4 linked regions of the Arabidopsis thaliana genome follow. The protein of the gene in region 1 interacts with the protein of each later gene in a biochemical or structural test. Each region holds a gene or a part of one and is shown in the gene's direction. Other genes may lie near its edges.

Evidence for each region.
Region 2: the proteins of HSP81-2 (region 1) and TPR7 form a complex in vitro, tested with the Arabidopsis thaliana proteins (2 studies listed by BioGRID).
Region 3: the proteins of HSP81-2 (region 1) and TPR1 form a complex in vitro, tested with the Arabidopsis thaliana proteins (one study listed by BioGRID).
Region 4: the proteins of HSP81-2 (region 1) and SQN form a complex in vitro, tested with the Arabidopsis thaliana proteins (one study listed by BioGRID).

Annotation. Positions count from the first base shown.
Region 1 is NC_003076.8:22,684,867-22,689,988, forward strand, and holds HSP81-2 (heat shock protein 81-2), read left to right. Parts: upstream 1-1,965; 5' UTR 1,966-2,056; coding exon 2,057-2,266; intron 2,267-2,484; coding exon 2,485-2,626; intron 2,627-2,732; coding exon 2,733-4,567; 3' UTR 4,568-4,605; downstream 4,606-5,122. Other genes in the region: AT5G56020 (Got1/Sft2-like vescicle transport protein family), read left to right, coding at 282-540, 649-753, 1,230-1,340. UniProt on the Arabidopsis thaliana protein: Molecular chaperone. Involved in RPM1-mediated resistance. Component of the RPM1/RAR1/SGT1 complex. May stabilize RPM1 and protect it from SGT1-mediated degradation. Associates with RAR1 which may function as co-chaperone. Possesses ATPase activity.
Region 2 is NC_003076.8:7,271,533-7,277,114, forward strand, and holds TPR7 (Tetratricopeptide repeat (TPR)-like superfamily protein), read left to right. Parts: upstream 1-1,538; 5' UTR 1,539-1,862; coding exon 1,863-1,958; intron 1,959-2,070; coding exon 2,071-2,301; intron 2,302-2,437; coding exon 2,438-2,494; intron 2,495-2,608; coding exon 2,609-2,737; intron 2,738-2,923; coding exon 2,924-3,001; intron 3,002-3,122; coding exon 3,123-3,193; intron 3,194-3,315; coding exon 3,316-3,365; intron 3,366-3,505; coding exon 3,506-3,653; intron 3,654-3,810; coding exon 3,811-4,324; intron 4,325-4,414; coding exon 4,415-4,558; intron 4,559-4,639; coding exon 4,640-4,786; 3' UTR 4,787-5,047; downstream 5,048-5,582. UniProt on the Arabidopsis thaliana protein: Plays a role in protein import into the endoplasmic reticulum (ER). May function as chaperone docking protein during post-translational protein translocation into the ER. Chaperone receptor mediating Hsp70-dependent protein targeting to chloroplasts.
Region 3 is NC_003070.9:30,261,101-30,269,119, reverse strand, and holds the start of TPR1 (TOPLESS-related 1), read left to right. Parts: upstream 1-1,994; 5' UTR 1,995-2,220; intron 2,221-2,579; exon of another isoform or gene 2,580-2,611; 5' UTR 2,612-2,673; coding exon 2,674-2,753; intron 2,754-2,825; coding exon 2,826-3,005; intron 3,006-3,087; coding exon 3,088-3,360; intron 3,361-3,452; coding exon 3,453-3,630; intron 3,631-3,747; coding exon 3,748-3,871; intron 3,872-4,010; coding exon 4,011-4,120; intron 4,121-4,231; coding exon 4,232-4,403; intron 4,404-4,499; coding exon 4,500-4,609; intron 4,610-4,695; coding exon 4,696-4,765; intron 4,766-4,835; coding exon 4,836-4,909; intron 4,910-4,987; coding exon 4,988-5,083; intron 5,084-5,180; coding exon 5,181-5,276; intron 5,277-5,374; coding exon 5,375-5,502; intron 5,503-5,606; coding exon 5,607-5,841; intron 5,842-5,921; coding exon 5,922-6,062; intron 6,063-6,158; coding exon 6,159-6,221; intron 6,222-6,308; coding exon 6,309-6,455; intron 6,456-6,523; coding exon 6,524-6,634; and 10 more. UniProt on the Arabidopsis thaliana protein: Transcriptional corepressor. Activates TIR-NB-LRR R protein-mediated immune responses through repression of negative regulators such as CNGC2/DND1. Negative regulator of jasmonate responses.
Region 4 is NC_003071.7:6,877,267-6,882,925, reverse strand, and holds SQN (peptidyl-prolyl cis-trans isomerase / cyclophilin-40 (CYP40) / rotamase), read left to right. Parts: upstream 1-2,027; 5' UTR 2,028-2,182; coding exon 2,183-2,353; intron 2,354-2,741; coding exon 2,742-3,242; intron 3,243-3,341; coding exon 3,342-3,429; intron 3,430-3,539; coding exon 3,540-3,592; intron 3,593-4,152; coding exon 4,153-4,257; intron 4,258-4,378; coding exon 4,379-4,454; intron 4,455-4,596; coding exon 4,597-4,634; intron 4,635-4,728; coding exon 4,729-4,782; 3' UTR 4,783-4,813; intron 4,814-4,911; 3' UTR 4,912-5,152; downstream 5,153-5,659. UniProt on the Arabidopsis thaliana protein: PPIases accelerate the folding of proteins. It catalyzes the cis-trans isomerization of proline imidic peptide bonds in oligopeptides.

The DNA of each region.
Region 1 (5,122 bases):
AGAAATTAGGCGTTTTCGCCTGCTATTGAGGATTGGATTGGTGTAAATTAAATCTGGAATCTGAGAAATTGTGATTAACCATATAGTTTAAGCTTTGCCAGATTCGTTGATCAGATTTACAAATTCTCAGGGTTTGAAGCTATTGTTAGTGAATGATTTTGATTAGTGTCTTCTCTCAATGACTTAGAATTGATTAAGAGTCTTAAGCATATCTTTTTCTTGAAGTGTTACTAACTTTTTGATTTTGAATTTTGTTGTACTCAAATCTGGATTGTTAACAGTGTTTCGAAAGGAGTTAGAGATAACCTGCAGTCTGCAACAAGTAGTATGCCTTCAGGAAAAGCTTTGATGTATTTCGGTTTACTTCTAGCAAGTGGTGTATTCTTCATCTTCATTGCCTTCACCATGTTTCTTCCAGTCATGGTGCTTATGCCACAGAAGTTTGCAATTTGTTTTACCCTTGGATGTGGATTTATCATCGGATCTTTCTTCGCTCTTCGTGGCCCGCAAAATCAACTCGCTCACATGTCATCGGCAGAGGTAATAACTAATAACAAAACCTTGTGTTGTGCAGCTTCTTATATCTGCTGTATTTCGTTTACATTTTTCTCTTTGGAATTTTAATTTCTTGTTTGCTGGCTTCTCCAGAGGCTTCCACTAACTTTAGGTTTCATTGCCACCATGGTTGGCACCATATATGTCTCGATGGTGCTCCATAGCTACATTCTCTCTGTGATTTTCTCTGCATTACAGGTACTTAAATTTCATCTTCCTTCCCGACTCTTGTTGGTGTTTATATCCTCTGTTTTTCATATGTTAAAATTTTCCTCTTCCCCATTTCACAAATCTTACCTATGAAGTTCTTTTTTACCCTGCATGTTTCATCTAGTAAGCTCTTGCCTCGTCGAAACATAATGTGTTTAGTAAAAAACATGTAGACTTTCTTATTGCTGTTTTAAAATACAAGTTGGGTTAGTATGAATTATGAAGAAGCCTTGAACGCCATATCTTTGGTTGGTCTCTTGGCTTGTTTTTGCAAATGCACTTACTTGCGACAGAAACAGCTTTGATATATTATTACTCACCCGTTATCGATATGGAATATATACTTTAAGAACTCACTAAATCATATCCTTCATGTCGGTTTAAAGATTAGTCACGTATCTGCACATTCTGTAAGTATAGTAATCTCATAAAAAACCTGGTCTCTGTTCTCTGTGAATCCATAGGTTATTGCACTGGCGTACTACTGTATATCATATTTCCCTGGTGGATCATCGGGAATGAAGTTCCTCAGTTCTACTCTTACCTCCTCTGTCTTCCGAATGTTTGGGAGATGAGCTTTCGCTTTGACCTATGCAAAGAAAATAACTTGATTCTCTCGTGTATAAAGAAAGATGAAAGATCTTCAACAGTGGTTAAATGACAAATCTGGTAAAATATGTTGGTCCAATGGCTCAAAGACAGTTTTGTTATAAATTTCCTATATTGATACTTTCTGCTAAATTGGTTCAAAACTTCAAATCACTAGCCACTGGATGAGGTATGGAACTTGAAGAGTTGCTTGGTGGATACATTCTCTAATCTAGGGTAAGTCGTTAGCTTCAATGTCTTACTGTGAATTATTACATCAGAATTAAGAAAGTTATTACACGTATGTTTTCACTGAGTTTACTACACTGGCAATGTGGCATACATCTCTTACTGCAAATTGCAGACAAGTGGTCAATCAAATCTTTTTTAGTTGGGCCCAAAATGTCTGTTATTGGATACGTTGGGCCTTAAAATGGCCCCCATCAGTCAAAAACATCACTGCTTGGAGAAGGATCTAGAAAAACTTGCAAGTTAGTTCAAACAAAATAAAGGAAAAAGAACGATCTAGAAGAAAGAAAAAAAAAGGAAAAGAAACCCTTATGGAGGTTCCCACACCACTCTATATATAATAACATCCTTCTCCTAAATCCCGCATCAGTACTTCTCTCTGCTCTCAAGATAATTTTGTTCTCTCAATTTCATTCTTAAACCCTAGTTCTTCGATTTTTTCCGATCTACGACAATGGCGGACGCTGAAACCTTTGCTTTCCAAGCTGAGATCAACCAGTTGCTTTCCCTCATCATCAATACCTTTTACTCTAACAAGGAGATCTTCCTCCGTGAACTCATCAGTAACTCTTCTGATGTACGATCTCTATCTCTCTCTACCTTATTGTATACTTGTGTATCTCGTTTGATTGATTTGGCGGATGGATCTGTAGATTTAGGTTTGGTTAGGGTTTAGTGTTCTTTCCGTTGGGAGAATTTTGGTTACTTACTGAAGTTGCGAAGCTTTTTGTGTACAAATCTATTGTTTAGGTTTAGTGTTGATACCAAGGATTTAAGTAGTTTCTTGTTAGATTACCAAGTTTTCGATTGCTTATAGTTGATTTGCATACATATTATGTGTATTGTTTGCTTACGATTGTGATTCTATTCTGGTGAAAACAGGCTTTGGACAAGATTAGATTCGAGTCCTTGACGGACAAGAGCAAGCTCGATGGTCAGCCTGAGCTCTTCATTCACATCATTCCCGACAAGACTAACAACACCTTGACCATTATTGATAGTGGTATTGGCATGACCAAGGCTGGTACGTAATTGATTTCATCCTAAATCAATTTGTTTCGATTTTGTTGTTGTTTGTTAGTCTTGCATCTGTGTTTGTTTTGTTGGCTAATTCGTGCTTCTTCTATTAGATTTGGTCAACAACCTTGGAACAATTGCAAGATCTGGAACCAAGGAATTCATGGAAGCACTGGCTGCTGGAGCTGATGTTAGCATGATTGGTCAGTTTGGTGTTGGTTTCTACTCTGCTTACTTGGTTGCTGACAAGGTTGTTGTTACTACCAAGCACAATGACGATGAGCAGTACGTGTGGGAGTCTCAGGCCGGGGGATCTTTCACTGTGACCAGAGACACCTCTGGGGAGACTCTTGGTAGAGGAACAAAGATGGTTCTTTACCTCAAGGAAGACCAGTTGGAGTACCTTGAGGAGCGAAGGCTTAAGGATTTGGTGAAGAAGCACTCTGAGTTCATCAGCTACCCAATCTCTCTCTGGATTGAGAAGACCATTGAGAAGGAGATCTCTGATGATGAAGAGGAGGAAGAGAAGAAGGATGAGGAAGGCAAGGTTGAGGAAGTTGATGAGGAGAAAGAAAAGGAGGAGAAGAAAAAGAAGAAGATTAAGGAGGTTTCTCATGAGTGGGATTTGGTGAACAAGCAGAAGCCTATCTGGATGAGGAAGCCAGAGGAGATCAACAAGGAGGAGTACGCTGCTTTCTACAAGAGTCTCAGCAATGATTGGGAGGAGCATTTGGCTGTGAAGCATTTCTCTGTTGAAGGACAGCTTGAGTTCAAAGCTATCCTCTTTGTTCCCAAGAGAGCTCCTTTTGATCTCTTTGACACTAAGAAGAAGCCCAACAACATCAAGCTCTATGTCCGTCGTGTCTTCATCATGGACAACTGTGAAGACATCATCCCTGAGTACCTCGGATTTGTGAAAGGTATTGTCGACTCTGAAGATCTTCCTCTCAACATCTCGAGAGAGACATTGCAGCAGAACAAGATCCTCAAGGTCATCCGCAAGAACCTTGTGAAGAAGTGCCTTGAGCTCTTCTTTGAGATTGCTGAGAACAAGGAAGACTACAACAAGTTCTACGAGGCTTTCTCTAAGAACCTGAAGCTCGGTATCCATGAGGACTCCCAAAACAGAACCAAGATTGCTGAGTTGCTCCGTTACCACTCAACCAAGAGCGGTGATGAATTGACTAGTCTCAAGGACTACGTGACAAGGATGAAGGAAGGTCAGAACGATATCTTCTACATCACTGGTGAGAGCAAGAAGGCTGTTGAGAACTCTCCATTCCTTGAGAAGCTCAAGAAGAAAGGTATTGAAGTTCTCTACATGGTTGATGCGATTGATGAGTACGCTATTGGTCAGCTTAAGGAATTCGAGGGAAAGAAACTTGTTTCTGCAACCAAGGAAGGTCTGAAACTGGATGAGACCGAAGATGAAAAGAAGAAGAAAGAAGAGCTCAAGGAGAAGTTTGAAGGACTCTGCAAAGTGATCAAAGACGTTTTGGGTGACAAGGTCGAGAAGGTTATTGTTTCTGACCGTGTTGTGGACTCACCGTGCTGTCTTGTAACCGGCGAATACGGCTGGACTGCAAACATGGAGAGGATCATGAAAGCTCAAGCCTTGAGAGACAGCAGCATGGCTGGTTACATGTCGAGTAAGAAGACAATGGAGATTAATCCAGAGAACTCCATCATGGATGAGTTGAGAAAGCGAGCTGACGCAGACAAGAACGACAAGTCTGTGAAGGACCTTGTGCTTCTCCTCTTTGAGACCGCTCTTCTCACTTCTGGTTTCAGCCTTGATGAGCCAAACACTTTCGGAAGCAGGATCCACAGGATGCTGAAGCTTGGACTGAGCATTGATGACGATGATGCTGTTGAAGCCGATGCTGAGATGCCTCCCCTTGAAGACGATGCTGATGCCGAAGGTAGCAAGATGGAGGAAGTCGACTAATTTATCACACAAAAGTCGACTAAATTATTAGCGGTGTTATAAGACTATGGTTTTCTTTTTTTCTTTTCGTTAAAACTTATGTTATTTTGGTGATTATCTTCACGAATTTTTTCTATGGTTTTATTGTTGTGAAGATATTTCTCTGAACTCGGTTTTATGACAAAGATTCTATTATGCTCAAGAGACTGATTCTTACATATCCAAGCTGAATTTTGTCAGGGTATTAGTAGTAACCTAGTTATGATTATATCTTCCTAATTAGAATTTAGAATAACAAATTATAAGAAAATAGAATAACACAGAGATCATATCTTCTGGCATACATATCTTGCTGTGAATTATATTGCATCCGAATTAGAAAAGTTGCCACAGTTAAATTGAAATGTTTTCACTAAAAAAAAAAAAAACTACGCTGCCAATTGCCAATCTCTTGCTGCAAAGTGCAAACAAATGGTCAATCAAATTTTTAGATGGGCCCAAAATGTCCGTTGTTGAATACTTTGGGCCTTAAAATCGACCCATCAGTCAAAAAGACTCGTCAATATTAGAGACTGG
Region 2 (5,582 bases), about 15 Mb from region 1:
TTTTTTCCCTAGCATATCAATTTTAAAAAAATAGTTTGCAATTTACGGCAATAAAATGTGGGCAACAAAAACAAAACTGAATATTTACATTCGTTTTCATTGTACAATAGAGGGTACATTCAAAAAATACAACTCACTCATTATCCTAGATTGCTTTGCCATATAATAGTAGAATACGTAAGAATGTGTCTACGATGTATTCTAAAGGATAACAAGGGCTATGTGAATTATAAAATCAAGGCTATATATGTGTATGCATATTTTGGTTCGTGTAAACATGTTAAAAAGTTGCTTTGTTGTAATCTATTTAGAAGCACATGCATGTTGTAATCTAGCTTCGAGAGATGTTGCACAACATGTATCAGAATGCTTTAGCAATATTGCTTTATTAATTATAAGTTGAAGATATTGTTTCCTTCTTGTTTGTTATATGATATAACTTTATTAATCCATTGGTTTCATTGTGACCAAGAAGAAGAGGTTTGCTAGAATTTCCTCGTTCTCGCTGCAATAGTACTTAGTGATTAGTTAATTGATAATCATAAATCATATCAACATTCACTTCTCTCAGACTGCTATCATTTAGTGAATCATAATCTCTGCTAATATTGAAAAATTGGGAGACGAGAGATAGATGAGAGTTGTAGCTAGCTTTAGTCAAAGTGGTCCTCTTCTAATGTGACTATACCACCGTTTCCATTCTTTCAAACATTGAAACATTTATGCTGCGGTGGAGAGAAATAAACATTTCAGAAAAATTAATTGATAGATGTACTCGTCGATGAAACTATATCGAAACAATATTGAAAAAAGTATTACCAAACACAACTTATATGTCACTAAAACTCGTCTTTTTTCTTTGTATGGTCAAAACACTAAAACTCGTTCAACAACTGAAAAGATTGTCGTATTGAAATAAAATTCTTTGCCCGAATAGTTGTACATATGTATTTTTTTGTTAAGATCATTTTGATATTTAAGATACTAAAAATTCTGCAGAAGACATGCATATTTTAAAGTTTAATAAATGGATTACTTTAGAGATTGAGTCTATGAAACTGAATACTAAACATTTTTGGATTCCAACAAATATATTATGGCTCTGAATGGTAATCAAAACCGCACTTAAAACCGCACCGCAACAGTACTGTAACAGTATTAAAATCTCTACATATTCATATGTATCTATATATTTTCGTTACTATTTGAACCGCACCGTACTTCTCCCGCACCGCAAAACGCAATCACCATTCGGAGCTTATATCATGGAGATGTAGCTGGGCAAACATATGATATCGATATCCAGACCCTAAAGAATTTTAAAATATCAAAAAATTATTTGTACCCTCAAACAAATTTAAATTGAATTTTATTGACACTTTAACACGTGTAACAGTTAAATTGGACGACTCTTTCTAAAACGAAATAAAAAAGAGTTTAACAAGAGATTCGTTTCAGTTTAAGAAGAAAAAAAACACGAGATTAGTCTTCCAACATGGACAAGGACATGACAATTTGCACGTAATCATATAGTTACGTTAATCAATACAATTACGTAAATTAATTTATTATGGCACGTCACAGCATCATCGTAGATCAAGGGTAAAACAGTCATTCTCCATCATCCAGGCATATTCCGGTCGGTGAATTGAGGAGGTTGAGCGATAAATTTTCCAATTCGATTCTATATTATTGGAAACTACTTTCGGGTCGGCAAAACAATTCTCCTTCGATTTTCCGATTCTCACAAACTCAATCTCGATCCAGATTCCGAGCTTATCCTTCTCTGGCGAATTTCGATTTTCTGTGTTTCCGATCTGATTACAGAGAACCACATCGAAGCTTCGAGAAAAAAAAACACGATGTTTAACGGGTTAATGGATCCTGAGATGATTCGGCTCGCTCAAGATCAGATGAGTCGTATGACTCCTGCTGATTTCGCTAGGATCCAACAACAGGTTTCGTTATTTTTCCTGATTCGAATTATTCGATCGATTCTGAGGAGAATTTGTTTGATTTGATTTGATTATGGCTTTGTATGATGAATTTATACCATTGTTTATTATACAGATGATGTCAAATCCAGATTTGATGAATATGGCAACAGAGAGTATGAAGAACATGAGGCCTGAAGATTTGAAACAAGCTGCGGAACAGCTTAAGCATACTCGGCCTGAAGATATGGCTGAGATTAGCGAGAAGATGGCTAAAGCTTCCCCTGAAGATATTGCAGCTATGCGTGCTCATGCTGATGCTCAATTTACTTATCAGATCAATGCAGCTCAGATGCTTAAAAAACAGGTAACAATTGACTTCCTGAGAGAAGTTTTCTATTGAATTTTGCTTTCCTGATTATAAAGTAAGGAACAAGAATGGCTTCAGCAAGTGGACCTTTGTGTAATTTGATGTTAATCTCATTTTCTACTACGTTTGGCAGGGAAACGAGCTTCATAGCCGAGGAAATTTCAGCGATGCCGCAGAGAAATACTTGCGTGTAAGTCTGCAGACGTATCTCATTTGTCATGCTACTTGACAAGAAGAGTTTTATTTGTAACCTGATATGCGATTCTTTTCTACTTGTTTACAATGCTCTTGGACCATATCTCAGGCGAAGAACAATCTGAAAGAGATTCCATCTTCTAAAGGTGGAGCAATTTTGTTGGCTTGTTCTCTCAATCTAATGTCGTGTTATTTGAAGACGAATCAGCATGAAGAGTGCATAAAGGAAGGTTCTGAGGTATATTCTTTATGCTCTTAATTTTCTGAAAACTCATAGATGAAAACATTTTTAGGAAAAAGAGAGATGGCAATCTTTTGGCTTCTTTTTTGTAGATGTAACACATGATGTCATACAGCGTTTTATGATCTATTCAAAACTGTTTCGACATTCTTCTGATAAATTTACATTCTTACATTATTTCAGGTTTTGGGATATGATGCAAGGAATGTCAAAGCCCTATACAGAAGGGGTCAAGCTTACAGAGATTTGGGCTTGTTTGAAGTGAGTTCTTCTGTTGCTTATGGAACTTTCTTGAGATTCCTTGTCGATATATATGTTTGTACTGTAGATATGTCCTGACTATATGTTTGCTCAATGCTCATTCACTCTCTTAAACTATAAGGATGCCGTCTCTGATCTAAGCAAGGCCCATGAAGTTTCCCCAGAAGATGAGACAATTGCCGATGTGTTAAGGTATGGATTTTTATATTCATTACTGGTAATGTCATACTTTTCAGTTCTGCTTATCTCAGAGGTTTTGATATTAACATTGAAAAAATAACTTTTGACTTGAAGTATTATCTTTTCTGATGCAGAGATGTTAAGGAAAGATTGGCTGTCGAGGGACCTGGCAAGGCATCAAGAGGTATAATATTATTCCTTATGATTTATTCGAAAGAATTCAGTGTATTATGTCAGACCAGACGTTTCTTTACTACATCAATGATATGCTTCGTCCATGAATATGGAAACGAACTGAAAAATGTTATGTTGTTTGGTTATTAGGTGTGGTGATTGAAGACATAACTGAAGAAAATAATGTTACTTCCGGAGAGAATAAAAAACCGTCAAAAGAGGCTAATGGTCATGCTCAGGGCGTAAAGACTGATGTTGATGGATTGCAAGCTCTCAGAGATAATCCAGAAGCAATCAGGTTCGACACCTTTCCAAACATTAGTGTTTGATGTGTTGTTTCATCTTTTTGTCTCCTAATCTTGAAGACAAATATAATCTAAAGCATCCTTTTTCTGCTACATTTGGCACGATTAGTATGATTTTCTAATTGTTTTTATTCTTTCTATGGCCTGCAGAACTTTCCAGAATTTCATTTCAAAAACTGATCCCGATACACTTGCTGCTCTAAGCGGAGGCAAAGCTGGAGACATGTCACCGGACATGTTCAAAACTGCGTCAAGTATGATAGGCAAAATGTCACCTGAAGAGATTCAAAAAATGGTTCAAACAGCCTCTTCGTTTAAAGGAGATAACCCTTTCGCCCCGACTGCGCCATCTACCGAAAACGGTTTTACACCCACACCTGACATGCTTAAACTTGCATCTGATATGATGGGTAAGATGTCACCAGAAGAGCGTGAGAGGATGTTTAACATGGCATCGTCTTTGAAAGCAAACGCTCCAGCTTCAACATCATACGGCAATGCAGAAGCATCTGAACCACGGGAAAGTTTAGGAGCGAGTGGGAGTTCTTCGGGAAATTCCTTTGTGGCTCCAAGAAGCGGTTTCGAACCAAGCATCCCTTCTGCTCCGCCTGCTGACTTACAGGAACAGATGAGAAACCAAATGAAAGATCCAGCGATGCGACAGGTTTGATCATTTTCGGTTTATGTTTTACCAATTTAGTCAACATAATGTGATTGTTGATGTTCATATAGTAGTTTCTCTGTATATTGGTAGATGTTCACGTCTATGATAAAGAACATGAACCCTGAGATGATGGCTAGCATGAGCGAACAATTTGGAATGAAGCTTTCTCAAGAAGACGCTGCAAAAGCTCAGCAAGCCATGGCTTCTCTTTCTCCCGACGCCTTGGAGAAAATGGTACGAATTCGGTTTAGTAAAACCAAAAGAACATTCAAAGTTGATTGTATAGTTGTCTCAATTGTAAACACGTTGTTGCAGATGCGATGGGCGGATCGGGCTCAAACCGGGATGGAGAAAGCGAAGAAAGCAAAGAAGTGGTTGTTCGGAAAAGGCGGATTGATCTTTGCAATATTAATGCTCGTTTTAGCAATGGTCCTTCACCGTCTCGGCTATATTGGAAACTAGAGGAAACAACGGTATCTTAAGGCTTAATCCTTCGTGAAGATAAAACCAGTCTTCGGTGGGTTCGTTTAGTTTGTAAAACTGTAACATCGTTTTATCTTCTTTTTCTTTCCTCTAACTCTCAGCTTTTTGTTAGTCCACTTGTGTCTAAATTTCTTTACACTTTCTTCTGTAGTGAATTTTAAATTAGAGAAAATACGAATATTTCCTTATATTCGTTATTTTATAAACATAATTATGCTTCTGGTAGAGCGCCTCTACAAGAAAATTGGTTATTTGCGTTGGGAGATTCTTTTAGCAAATAGAAAAGACCATTTCTAATGGTTGTCTCTATTTTTCTTTATAAATATAGAAGGAAAAATAGAGATTTTTATTTTCTATTTTTATATATAGAGAAAAAAAATAAAGATCTCTATAATAGAGGTAAGAATAAAGATGAGTTAGAGTAAAATAGAGGCAAAAATAAAGTTTAAAGACAAAAATAAAGATGAGTTGGAGATGTTCTAAAGAGAAAAGTTCGAGTAAAAAATTTTTTTTTCGCAATCCAACGTTTGCAAATTTTGCGAGGAGAAATTTTGAAATAAGTATATAAAATCATCTTAAACTTTATTAAATTCATAGATATTAAAAAAATAAAAAAACTTCATTAAATTTTAAATTATATTTTTTTTTGTGCACCCAAAATTTAGATAATTTAATTATTTTAATATACGACTGAATACACATTCTTCAAAAGTAAAAAATAAAGAAAAAACTTAGAAGGATGAAGTACAAGAGAAGGAAACACGTGTCTTAATCT
Region 3 (8,019 bases), on another chromosome or scaffold:
TTCAACGTGTTAGTCTGATTTTTATATTTCTAAAGAGAAGTACTCATCTATTTTTGAGCTATTAATCTATTACAATTTGTGTTCTGATCTGGAGAGTGGAGAGTTATTTCAAAGTAAAGTATGTAGATTGTAGAGGATCTATCGAGAATCTACTCATTTAAAATAGTTTGACGTTGTAGCAAACAATTTTTTTGTCATTGATGATTTGTATTGTTTGTAAATATTATTTAGAAACCAAATCGAATTTTTAGTTGAAAATTATAATCTGTTTAATAAGTGATAATTACATCATGCACATGTACCTAGTGACTCATAATGAAACGTATCATAATGGATTGACGAGTAGTTGTCTGATATTGACATCTTAATTTATAACTTCCCTTTTCATTGTTAATGTTCCTTACTGTCTTCTGATTGATAATAAAGACGTTGACATGTCAAACCACATAATTATTTGAAAAATATATATTATTTCTTCAGATTTTCATCATTTGTTATAAGTCTCGATAAGACAGTTTTTGTTTTTTTAACAATTTTTTACAAAAAACTTACGACCATAATTTAGTTCAGGCGAAAATCAGTGAATCATTAATCATATTTATTAGTTTGGATTTTTATGTGTTTTTCTTTTTATGTATTTGAGGATTTTTCAGTTTGTGAAAACAAATCTAATATGCTTATTTGATTTCTTCTTTATTTGCTGTATTCTTAATATATCTTGCAGAGCTAAGGTAATACTCAAATTTTTTTTTTCCACACGTAAAAACTCATATTTATCAGTTTGGAATTACTGTATTCTTTTTAGTAGTCCTCTCACTCGCCATGGCAAGAAGAAGGTTTTTTTTTCCTTTTTCTTGCATTCCATGTTAATCAGTATTTGAATAAAAAAGCAAGCTAAATCGGCAAATGAACTTATATCCAAATAATCAAGATATCAATCTGTGTAAGCATTACTAGAAAAGTAGAGATACTCGTGTTACCGTGTAAATTAAAAGAATAAAAATGTGCTTTTCAAAAGTTATATACTTTTCTTGTGCACCCATAACTTTAGCAAAAGCAACCATCATCATTCTTGAGCAATTAAAACAAATAATATTGATCTTCATTTGGTGCCAAAATACTTTACGGTAATGACGTCAAACTCGATGTTTCTTGTCAAAGTCTGAAAGACCAATATAAAATAACACTAGACACATTATAAAATTAACATATTGGTTCATTGTAATTAAACCGTCGAATATATATAACGAAAATACCAATTACGCTGTGAATAAACAAACAAAATCATTTTATTAGTCATCGAGTAAATAAATTCGATTATAATCCTCAATAGTCAATATATATATAGCTCACATCACATTATGCGATTAACAAAAACAATCCAAAACAGTTAAATGATTAGAAATTAAACGAGTCTCACTAAATTATTAACGACTCCAAATCACGAGAAGGCTTAAGAGTTATCATGTCGGGAGAATTTAACTGATAACCTCTTCCATTATCTCTCAATCACGTGATTTTTGTTCAACGAGTACCGCATCTCAAGAATAAAAATGGCAATTTAGGTAAATATTTGTCATTTTCAAGGGCAATGGAACTTAAAGATGCATTTCAGAAGGAAAAGCTTTGTCGTGTTATGAGGGAAATGTGGGGACGCAGCTACTTCGCTTTCAAACCGTTGGATGAATATCCTTTAAGGTTCATCGTACAAGATCGACGGCACTCACCGAGGGTGTACTCATGTTGTGACACAGAGGATCATGTCTACTTGGAGTACAGCTAGCAGCTAGAGATTCTGAGCCGATAACGTCGAGAATTGTAGCCGGCTAAGTCGTATATGCTGGTTTAAACTTTAATCTGTACTTATATATAAGTCAACGTGCTTATCAAAATCAGCTCCCTTATCGTGTGATAGGTGCATTGTCTTATTAGACTCCGTTATCCGTCACCTTCGCATATTAAAATCACTTTTTATTTTTTGGTTTTAAATTAAAGTCTCCATTTCTGCAAGATTTTAATGTTCGTATAAATAAGCCTGAAGAGAGAGAGAGAGAGAGAGAGAAAACTTGTTTTTTTTTTTTCCATTAGTTTTTTTCTTACTTTCTGGTCGAGAGAGGAGAGTCCAAAAAACCCAAATCCTTGGCCTCTTTCAATATCAGGAGAGAGAAACTGAAGCTCTGGCCTTTGTTTCTGAAATCGATCGTCTTCTTCTTCTTCATGGCAAGTAACGTATCTAGGTCTTTCATTTTTGGTTTAATATCTAAATCGTAGCTTTTCTGGGTTTTTGATTTTTGTTTTTGTCTCATGGAAGTGAAAAAGATGGCCATTTTAAGCTTTATATTTAATTCGGTGGACAATAATAATACTAGGAAGACCTAATTTTTGTGTAGCCCAATTAAACACTAATTAAATCCGCCGGAATAGAGACTTTTGGAGAATTTTCCGGAGGATAGTTGTAAAGATCTAGTTATATACTGTGTAATTAAGAGGCTGTGTCTATTTTCATTTTTTAAAAATAATAATTAAATGGAGGAATATCTGAAACCCAGTAAATTGGGATGATTTGATGGTTTTGTAAGGTTATCATCGTCGCCATTATATTGATATGCAGATCTGGTGGGTTTTTCTGCATCTGACTTGATAGCTTTATCGGACTGAGTGGCAAAATCAATCATGTCTTCTCTGAGCAGAGAGCTCGTCTTCTTGATCTTACAGTTTTTAGATGAAGAGAAGTTTAAAGAGACTGTTCATAAGTATGTCCGATCTCTCTTTTCCTTTTTGTCTTTTATTAGGCATTATTATTAACTTGATTGATTATTAATTAGGCTTGAACAAGAATCTGGGTTTTTCTTCAATATGAAGTATTTTGAGGATGAGGTGCACAATGGTAACTGGGATGAGGTTGAGAAGTATCTCTCTGGTTTTACTAAAGTTGATGATAATCGATACTCCATGAAGATTTTCTTCGAGATTAGGAAGCAGAAGTATCTCGAGGCCTTGGATAGGTAACTTGTGTCTCTCAACAACAACAAGAATCAAATGTTTTCATATTGCCAATCAATCACACCTGCTGCTGCTTCTATCTAGGCATGATCGTCCCAAGGCTGTCGATATTTTAGTCAAAGATTTGAAAGTGTTTTCCACTTTTAATGAGGAGCTTTTCAAGGAAATCACTCAGCTCTTGACCTTAGAAAACTTCAGGGAGAACGAGCAGTTATCCAAGTATGGGGACACAAAGTCCGCCAGAGCTATCATGTTGGTGGAACTCAAGAAGTTGATTGAAGCTAATCCTTTATTCCGTGATAAATTGCAGTTTCCTACCCTTAGAACTTCACGCCTCAGGACTCTGATTAATCAGAGGTATTCTTTGTCCTTTCTTGTTCACTTCAACAAATTTTCTTCTTGTCAGCTACTTTAACTCCTTGTTTCTATGTGGCTACATAAACCTGCAGCTTAAATTGGCAACACCAGCTTTGTAAGAACCCAAGGCCTAATCCTGATATTAAGACTCTCTTTGTCGATCATTCCTGCCGCCTACCAAATGATGCACGAGCACCATCCCCTGTCAACAATCCGCTTCTTGGATCATTACCAAAAGCCGAGGGATTTCCTCCTCTAGGCGCACACGGGGTAGGTCAATTTCCACCTGATTTTTCGTATTTTCTATAAGTGCCATTTCTACTGCTTTTGGTTCTAGCTCTATAGTTACCTTTACATGCCGTGCTTGACTTACCTTTATGTCTTTAGCCTTTTCAACCAACACCTTCTCCGGTTCCGACACCTCTTGCTGGTTGGATGTCTAGTCCTTCCTCTGTCCCACATCCAGCTGTGTCTGGAGGACCCATTGCTCTTGGTGCTCCATCCATCCAAGGTTATTTGCTTATCAAATGTGGTGTTTCTTTATAAAAGCTGTGTGGAACTATAGTCTTAAATTTTATCCTCGCCTTTTTTTCAGAACCTTTAAGTTTCACCTGTGATCTATGTAACATGTTCTCCTTTTTGGTTCTTAGCAGCCTTGAAACACCCGAGAACTCCTCCTTCTAATTCCGCTGTAGACTATCCATCAGGTGACTCAGACCATGTCTCAAAGCGAACCAGACCTATGGGAATCTCTGACGAGGTGAGAAAAATCTTAATTAATATTATATATTTTCTTATCAATACCAATTTTACATAATTGGTAGTACTAGTTTAGACTTTAAACGTATTTCTTCTTTCTCCCCATATGTAGGTGAGTCTAGGTGTGAACATGTTACCAATGACATTCCCGGGGCAGGCTCATGGTCATAATCAAACCTTCAAAGCACCTGATGACTTGCCCAAGACAGTTGCACGAACTTTGAGCCAAGGCTCATCTCCCATGAGCATGGATTTCCATCCTATTAAACAGACTCTGCTACTAGGTCTGTTTCTTGGTCTGTATGCATATTTCATGTAACATACATCATCAGAAATTTTGTAAAACCAGAAGTTTCTTGCTTCAATTTTCTTTGTTCCAGTTGGTACGAATGTAGGGGATATTGGGCTCTGGGAAGTCGGTTCTCGAGAACGTCTAGTCCAGAAGACTTTCAAAGTTTGGGACTTGAGTAAATGTTCGATGCCCTTGCAGGTGTCTTCTTTTGTGAAAATCAACCAGAATATTAATATCTAATATCTATTTGAAACTTCAGTGACCAACAATTCTGGTCTTTATAGGCTGCTTTGGTGAAAGAACCTGTCGTTTCTGTCAACCGTGTGATTTGGAGCCCGGACGGTTCCCTATTCGGTAAGACTTGAGATTACAAATGCTCTTTCAACCGATTTGAGTATTCATATGCGCACGTTTTCAACTGCAGGAGTTGCTTATTCGAGACATATTGTACAGCTATACTCTTATCACGGTGGTGAAGACATGAGGCAACACCTTGAGGTGTGATATAGTTTACAACAACATTTTAGGAGTATTTCTTTCATTTCCTGTAATGAAAATCATTTTTTATTATTTCAGATTGATGCTCATGTTGGCGGTGTCAATGACATTGCATTTTCCACTCCGAACAAGCAACTATGTGTTACTACTTGTGGTGATGACAAAACCATCAAGGTTCAGTATTTTTTTTCTTCTTTCATTTCCTTAACTCTTGTTTTTTTTTTTTTTTGTTGGAACTCTAAAAACAGACTAATCAATTCTGTGAATTAAGGTCTGGGATGCTGCAACGGGTGTAAAACGGTATACTTTTGAAGGCCATGAAGCTCCTGTTTACTCTATCTGCCCTCACTACAAGGAAAACATTCAGGTAAAGTAGCAATATTTATACGGTTTCATTTTTGCTAAGTACAAGTTGAAATTCGTTTCTATTTGGTTTTGACTTGTTTATTTCTTCTTCTGCTTAAGTTTATCTTTTCAACTGCTCTTGACGGAAAAATAAAAGCATGGTTATATGATAATATGGGTTCTCGGGTTGACTACGAAGCTCCTGGTCGCTGGTGTACAACGATGGCCTACAGTGCTGATGGAACTAGGTTATAACATGATTCTCATCATCTTTATGTTGTGGTTCTGTTCTGTATCGTCATGAAGTGATAATAAATTTAAAATCTATTTTTTATTATATTCACATGGATAGGCTATTTTCTTGTGGGACGAGTAAAGATGGGGAATCGTTCATAGTTGAGTGGAATGAAAGCGAAGGAGCTGTGAAGAGAACTTATCAAGGATTCCACAAGCGTTCCCTTGGTGTTGTCCAGTTTGATACTACTAAAAACCGTTATCTCGCTGCGGGTGACGACTTCTCCATTAAGTTCTGGGATATGGACACCATACAGCTTTTGACTGCCATTGATGCTGATGGAGGTCTCCAGGTATGCAAACAAATACCTCGATTCTCCCTGGGAACCGAATGTTTTCATTTGCAGCCATCATGGCTCTCTATGTTTTGTAGGCAAGTCCACGGATCAGATTTAACAAGGAAGGCTCTCTCTTGGCTGTTTCCGCAAATGACAATATGATTAAGGTTATGGCAAACTCAGATGGTCTAAGGCTATTGCACACAGTCGAGAACTTATCTTCTGAATCCTCCAAGGTACTGAATTTTGTGCTCACTGGATCTTCAACAAGCAAATTACTAACCCCCAATTTGAAATTTCTTCAACACTTTATTTTTCATGTACATTTGCAGCCTGCAATCAACAGCATTCCGATGGTAGAGAGACCTGCCTCTGTCGTTTCCATCCCTGGAATGGTACGAAAATCGATACTTTTTCCGTCAGTTTCTCTATCTCTTGGTCTGGGTCCAATCATCGTTGTTGATCACTTACCTTTCCAACAGAATGGAGATTCGCGGAATATGGTGGATGTGAAGCCAGTGATTACCGAAGAATCAAATGATAAGTCTAAGGTATGGAAGCTTACTGAAGTCGGCGAACCCTCTCAGTGCCGTTCATTGAGACTCCCTGAGAATATGAGAGTCACCAAGGTACTAACACATAGACTGACATAACTGTACTTATATGGCTTGATTCTAATGACTCAAAACTTGAGCAGATATCGAGATTGATTTTCACAAATTCGGGAAATGCAATTTTGGCATTGGCATCAAATGCTATTCATCTGCTATGGAAGTGGCAGCGAAATGACCGTAATGCAACTGGGAAGGTACTTATGGTCTAAAATCTTCCTTTAAGATCGCCAAAAGAGTTGAAATCATGATGAAATTCAATTTGAGATTTTGTGTAGGCAACGGCTTCTTTACCTCCTCAGCAGTGGCAACCAGCGAGCGGGATCTTAATGACAAACGATGTGGCTGAAACTAATCCAGAAGAAGCCGTACCCTGTTTTGCTTTATCGAAAAATGATTCCTACGTGATGTCAGCATCGGGAGGAAAGATCTCTTTGTTTAATATGATGACGTTTAAGGTAAAATCCCAGCTACAGACAGCACTATGTCTAATGTATGCAAACAATGCTTCATCTGTTACATTTAATTGTGTTGTTGGCTAAGCGCAGACAATGGCTACTTTCATGCCGCCTCCTCCTGCCGCAACGTTTCTTGCTTTTCACCCTCAAGATAACAATATCATTGCGATCGGGATGGATGACAGTACAATACAGATTTACAATGTTCGTGTTGATGAGGTTAAGAGCAAGCTTAAAGGACATTCTAAGAGAATAACCGGCCTCGCTTTCTCCAATGTATTAAACGTTCTGGTTTCGTCTGGAGCAGACGCTCAGGTGCTGATTCATCTCATGTTTTGTAATAAAGAATCCAAATCCTTAGAAGTCTTAGTGTGAATCTTTTGGTTTTTGTATGCAGCTTTGCGTATGGAACACGGATGGATGGGAGAAGCAGAAAAGCAAGGTTCTGCAAATTCCACAGGGAAGATCCACGTCTTCTTTGTCAGACACGCGTGTTCAGTTTCATCAAGATCAAGTACACTTCCTTGTGGTCCATGAAACTCAGCTCGCTATATACGAAACAACCAAGCTTGAATGCATGAAACAGGTTTTAGTCTTTATATATGTTCATTCTCTCTCCTTGCATCTGAGTAACCCTTATAGAAGAAAGAAATGTCTTTATTTTGATTCCAGTGGCCTGTGCGTGAATCAGCAGCTCCAATAACACATGCCACATTCTCATGTGATAGCCAATTGATATACACAAGTTTCATGGACGCTACAATATGCGTCTTCAGCTCTGCAAACCTTCGATTGCGTTGCAGAGTCAATCCCTCTGCATATTTGCCAGCTTCTCTCAGGTGAGTTAATGAAATGAATATAAACTAGTGCAATGTTGGATCATGAATCTTGAGTCTTCATGTTGATGTTTTGTGCAGCAACTCGAATGTCCATCCACTGGTGATAGCGGCTCATCCGCAAGAATCCAACATGTTTGCAGTGGGTCTGTCAGACGGAGGGGTCCATATATTCGAGCCGCTTGAGTCAGAAGGTAAATGGGGAGTAGCTCCACCGCCTGAAAATGGCTCAGCCAGCGCTGTCACGGCTACACCTTCCGTTGGAGCTTCTGCCTCTGACCAGCCTCA
Region 4 (5,659 bases), on another chromosome or scaffold:
TGTGTACCTCATCATAATCTCATCTTTGATGTCAGTCCATCTCAAAAAAGGCCGCCTTCTTGCTTCATCTCTGAACATCCTAGCGATGACTCCCTGTTTCAGCATTTTTGCTTTCCCACTCTTAGCATGGTGATGCTTATCAACATAAGTTTATACTCTCCATATACCTGAACGCTTATGAGTGGAGCAGTATATCTTCCACTCACAATTTTCATGGCTGCAGATTGCTGCCAACTTATTTGCACCCCATCTACACAACTTCACATCATAATTCATCTTCAATACATACCGCAAGAGTTGATCCTTAACCTCTTAACCACTATTGAAAGTCTGCAACATCCAAATGTATGGAGGTTTATCCTTCGAAAACTTCTGTCGAGATGATGATCTTTCTGCTTGGTCATACGCATCCCATTCATCATCTGTGTCCATTGCATGATCCGGACGCTCTACATCATAACACTGTCTCTCAAATTCATCTTCATCTTCAACCTCTTCAGCAACGGTTTCTTCTGGTACTGTGTTAATGTCTTCAGCTGCAGCATCATCAACAACATCATCTGCAGCTTCTGTACCATTGTGAATTTCGTCAAAGAAAGCCTCAAACCGAGGATCATCGTGCCTTCTTTCTTCTACTGGATCTTCTCCATTAGCTTGTACTCTTTCAGGGCACTCATTAGTTTCTGCTGCAGGCTCCTCGTCTATGATATCTTCGGCATCATCATCCTCAACTCCAAGTTCCTCGTCTTCTACAACATCATTTGGAAGCGGAAAAGCTGCAGGTACAGAGACGGCATTGACGATGTATATGTCAACTTCCCCACCAATCATCGCCTCACGACATAACTCCCTTATCCCACCATCTTTGTCGGCACCGATAACTCTTGCTGAATAGATTTCCTCTTCTGGAAGCTTGTACCAAATCGATTCGACTTCACCATTGACTCCATTTTCTTTGCAAGAATCGTCGAATATAGACCATGTCATCAGATCAGGATCCATCACCATGTCTTTCGCCTCGACCCCTCCAGAGTAATCGAACCCTTGGTCCGTGAAGGATACATCGCCTCTATAGTTTATGTTGAGTTTCAAACACTCGAAATCACTGGAAAATAGAAATTAACCGATTAGTAGTGGTAAACAAACTATAACCTAACTGATTCATAACCCCTAACCCAATTTCAAACAAACCCAGAAAATTTCAAACTTAAGAACCCTAAAAATTCAAATCGACAGACCCACAACACACAAATCGACATACCTCATCTTTTCGACTGTTTACCAACTGGATCGAACGCAGATATACCCGATCAAACGCTTCGAATCATCGCCTCTTTCAATTTCTAAGTTTTTTGGAGAGAAATTAGAAATTTGGGGAGTTAGGGTTTCTCAATCCCAAATCGATTTGGGGGAAAACAAATGAGGGTACTGTAGTCTTTTAGTTAGTCAATTAAACCGCGGATTGTTAACCATTAACCCCGGTTTAGTGATTCCGTCAGCCAAATTAACGTCTGTTAACGCGCATGAATGATTTAACCACGAACAATTAAATAGTGTTTTTCTTGAACAAAATTTAATATTTTGGAACTTTAGGTTCCAATCAAAAACAATTGGGTATTAAAGTTTTAAATAAAAAATAGTTGGGTTTTTTTTAGATTTTTTCCCTAAAAAAAAAGAATAATATTTTGCAAAAAAATTAAATAATTTTTAAGAAAAAGAAATAATAAAACCAAATATTTATTGTGTAGTGGCCATAGTGGGCAATCACCTACTATCCACTCTTATGGAATGTACCCGAAGGGACGAGTAATAAATTTCTTATTTTTTAATTTTGGCAGCAAGTAATAAATAAATTAATTAAAAGTTAAAAATAAATAAAAAGAGACAAAATTTGTTGGAGGAAGAAAGTGGGTCCTAGGGTTTTCTTCTATCTGTCGTTTTGATTTCTGCGTTTAATAAGAGACAAGTCCCCGTCTACAGTCTTTTAGAGACGGAAGCTACTGAGACAGAGATTCACACCATTGTTCTTTGTCTCTTCCTCTGATTCTTTCTCTCTCTCTCTCTCTCTCTCTCTCTCTCTCTCTCTCTCTCTCTCTCTCTCTCTCTCTCTCTCTCTCTCTCTCTCTCTGTCTCGTCTTTGTTTCGGTTTCAAGAAAGCAAGAGGAAGAAGAAGAAGAAGAAGATGGGTAGGTCAAAGTGTTTCATGGACATTAGCATTGGAGGTGAGCTTGAAGGAAGGATTGTTATTGAGCTTTACGATGATGTTGTTCCCAAAACCGCTGAGAATTTTCGATTACTCTGTACCGGTGAGAAGGGTTTAGGTCCAAATACTGGTGTACCTCTCCATTACAAGGTTCTCTCTTTCTCTCTATATCTTTGTTTATACTCTCTTATGTATGAAATGTAGAAATGGGTATTTGTTGTTTCTGTGATTTAGGGTTTGTGGTTTAATGGGTCATTCGTCATTGGGGTTTATAAAGATCAAAACTTGGTTAAATTTGCAATTAGTTGTGAAAGAAAGATCAAAACTTTAGGATGCAATTGTACTATAGAATGGTTCTGAATGCTTATGATTTGAGGTTTAATGGGTTTTTGCTCGTATTGCTGAATAGCTTCTGACTTTGTTTCAGTATTGCAATTAGGTTACTGTAGTTTGTAGTGGTGAGGTAAAGATCAAAACTTTAGGTTGAAATTGTACTATAGGATGATGTACTTATGGTATTTGGTGTATTTGTTTACAGGGGAATCGATTTCATCGTGTTATCAAGGGGTTTATGATACAAGGTGGGGATATATCAGCTAATGATGGTACTGGTGGTGAGTCTATCTATGGCTTGAAGTTTGACGATGAGAATTTTGAGCTGAAACATGAGAGGAAAGGGATGCTCTCTATGGCTAACTCTGGTCCCAACACTAATGGCTCTCAGTTTTTCATTACGACAACTCGCACTTCTCATTTAGATGGGAAACATGTTGTGTTTGGAAGGGTTACGAAAGGAATGGGTGTTGTTCGGTCGATTGAGCATGTTAGCATAGAGGAACAGTCTTGTCCTTCTCAGGATGTTGTGATCCATGACTGTGGAGAAATCCCTGAGGGTGCAGATGATGGGATTTGTGACTTTTTCAAGGATGGTGATGTGTACCCTGACTGGCCTATTGATCTGAATGAAAGCCCAGCTGAGTTATCTTGGTGGATGGAGACTGTTGATTTTGTCAAGGCTCATGGGAATGAGCACTTTAAGGTGCTTTTTCCATTGTTTTAAATTGAATATATACGTTTGTCTGTTCCATATTTTCATTTCTGTGAGTCTGATCTGTTTTTGACCTTGATTTACTCTCAGAAACAAGACTATAAGATGGCTCTTAGAAAGTACCGTAAGGCTTTACGCTATCTGGATATTTGCTGGGAGAAAGAGGGCATTGATGAAGGTGGTTTATCAGTTTTTCTCTCTATATATGTTTCCACTTACTTCATCTCAAAAAATATTTATACTATCCATACCAATGTTCCCACTCACTCTCTACTTGGGATCTTGTAGAGACGAGTACTGCCTTGCGTAAGACAAAGTCGCAGATCTTCACTAATAGTGCTGTAAGTTCATCATGCTTTTACACCTTTTTTAAAGCTACATACATCCTTGTTGATATCTTTTCTTGTAAGTTGAACATATCTACCTTATATGTGTGTGTGCTTTACGTACCATCTGAAGATTGATTGTCTTTGGAGTCGTTGATTTTTCCAAAAGAACTTAAATTTCTTACTCTGTTGGGTTTTTAACATTACAATTTTTTTTGTTGAATCTGCTTAATTCTTACGGATGAGCTGTACCGTCGATAGAATGATAAGCAATTGATTGTGAACTAAAAATTAATTTGAAGTGCTCTACACTGCAGACCTGTCATTTATGTTGGTTTCTGCTGTTTGATTAATTTCTTGGGAAAAAGTAGGGTAGGTTGACCTTGACATAAGCAGGATAATATTCTCTGAGATTATGCTTGTGGGACATACATTGCTCATATGAATTATTGTTTGCATCTCTGTTTACGTTGCCAGTGTTTTCACTTGTCCAACTTAATTGCTTTGTTGTGCCTGTATAACCGATTTTTTTTTACTATGTTATCTCATTGTATTGTAACTGGCTGTTGTGGCAGGCCTGCAAACTCAAATTCGGAGATGCAAAAGGAGCGTTGTTGGACACTGAATTTGCTATGCGTGATGAAGATAACAATGTTAAAGCATTGTTTCGACAAGGCCAGGTACTTAAAAACTTATTGTTTGACAGTTTTCTAGAACCTAGACCACAATAACGAAAATTCTAGATTTCTCATGAGAGGAAGATGGTGTCTATTTCTTATCTGCGTTTGTTTATAATGTTAGGCATACATGGCTCTTAATAACGTCGATGCTGCTGCTGAAAGCCTTGAGAAAGCTCTTCAATTCGAACCTAATGACGGTGAGTGATTCATCAAGCTTCTATTAGTTGTGGTTTGACAAGTTTGGTTCATCATTATCAATGTATGAACATAGTACAACACACTTAAATATATTACGAGAGAAATCTAACTAGCATTTATTTCTGTGAGTTGATTTTTCAGCTGGTATCAAGAAAGAATATGCTGCTGTTATGAAAAAGGTCGGTATGCGGATAAAGAACACAAGTTCTTTTTGCAGTTACTTTACTTCTAGTATAAAATCTTAGAGCTGACGTTAATAACCATGTGTTGCAGATTGCCTTTAGAGACAACGAAGAGAAAAAGCAGTACCGCAAAATGTTCGTATAGGGGGGGGGGGGGGTGCTCTGCTTCATTTAGGGTAAGCCTAAGATTTGTTGTTAATCTCAGAAAACTGACCTAGTGTAAGCTTTATGTCAACTAATTTAACTCTCAGGGTTTTTGATGTTGTCTATGTAGGTTTGGTCGGATAGTGAGGAAGAAGACTAACAAAAAGTGAAAAGAAGCATATAAAGAAAGAAAAAACATTCAAAAAAGGACTTTGGGAATTGTTTCTATTTCCCTCATTTTGGTAAACATGTTTTTACTTTTGCATCATGGCAAAGACTGATGCATAGTAATATCGACTGGGAAATTGTTTTTACCCAAAGGATAGATTCAGTGCTTGAGACTGTTAATGAAATTTTGAGTTACTTGGCCACTCTGAGTTCTTTGCTTTCTTCCACGATTTTTTTCACGTTTGCTTGAATCAGCAAGTGGGCACTACAATGCTAGGGAATTTTGGTTTCCGCAGCATGCATATATGCTTACAAAAAATCCATTGGGAACTGTTTCTATTTCCCTCCTTATGAAATAAAATCAAATACGATTATTTTTTTTTGCGAAAACAATACTTTCTTCTGTTTCTAAATGATTGATTTTCTAGAAAAAGAATTGTTTCTAAAAGATTGATTTTTAAAGTTTTTCATGTGATATTAATTGGTTAGTATTGTGAACTGTAATTTCCAAGAAAAATAGTTAATTATCATTGGTTTAGAGTTATAGAAAACTATAAAATAATAAAATAATATATTTATATTGTTTTCTTAATATGTGTGTTTTGCTAAAAATCAATCTTTAACTTAATAGAGCAGGTAGAACTGAAACAGTTTTATACTAATAAGTGTAGACCAACGACAATCACAAATTACAGCGACCGTCTCGGAGG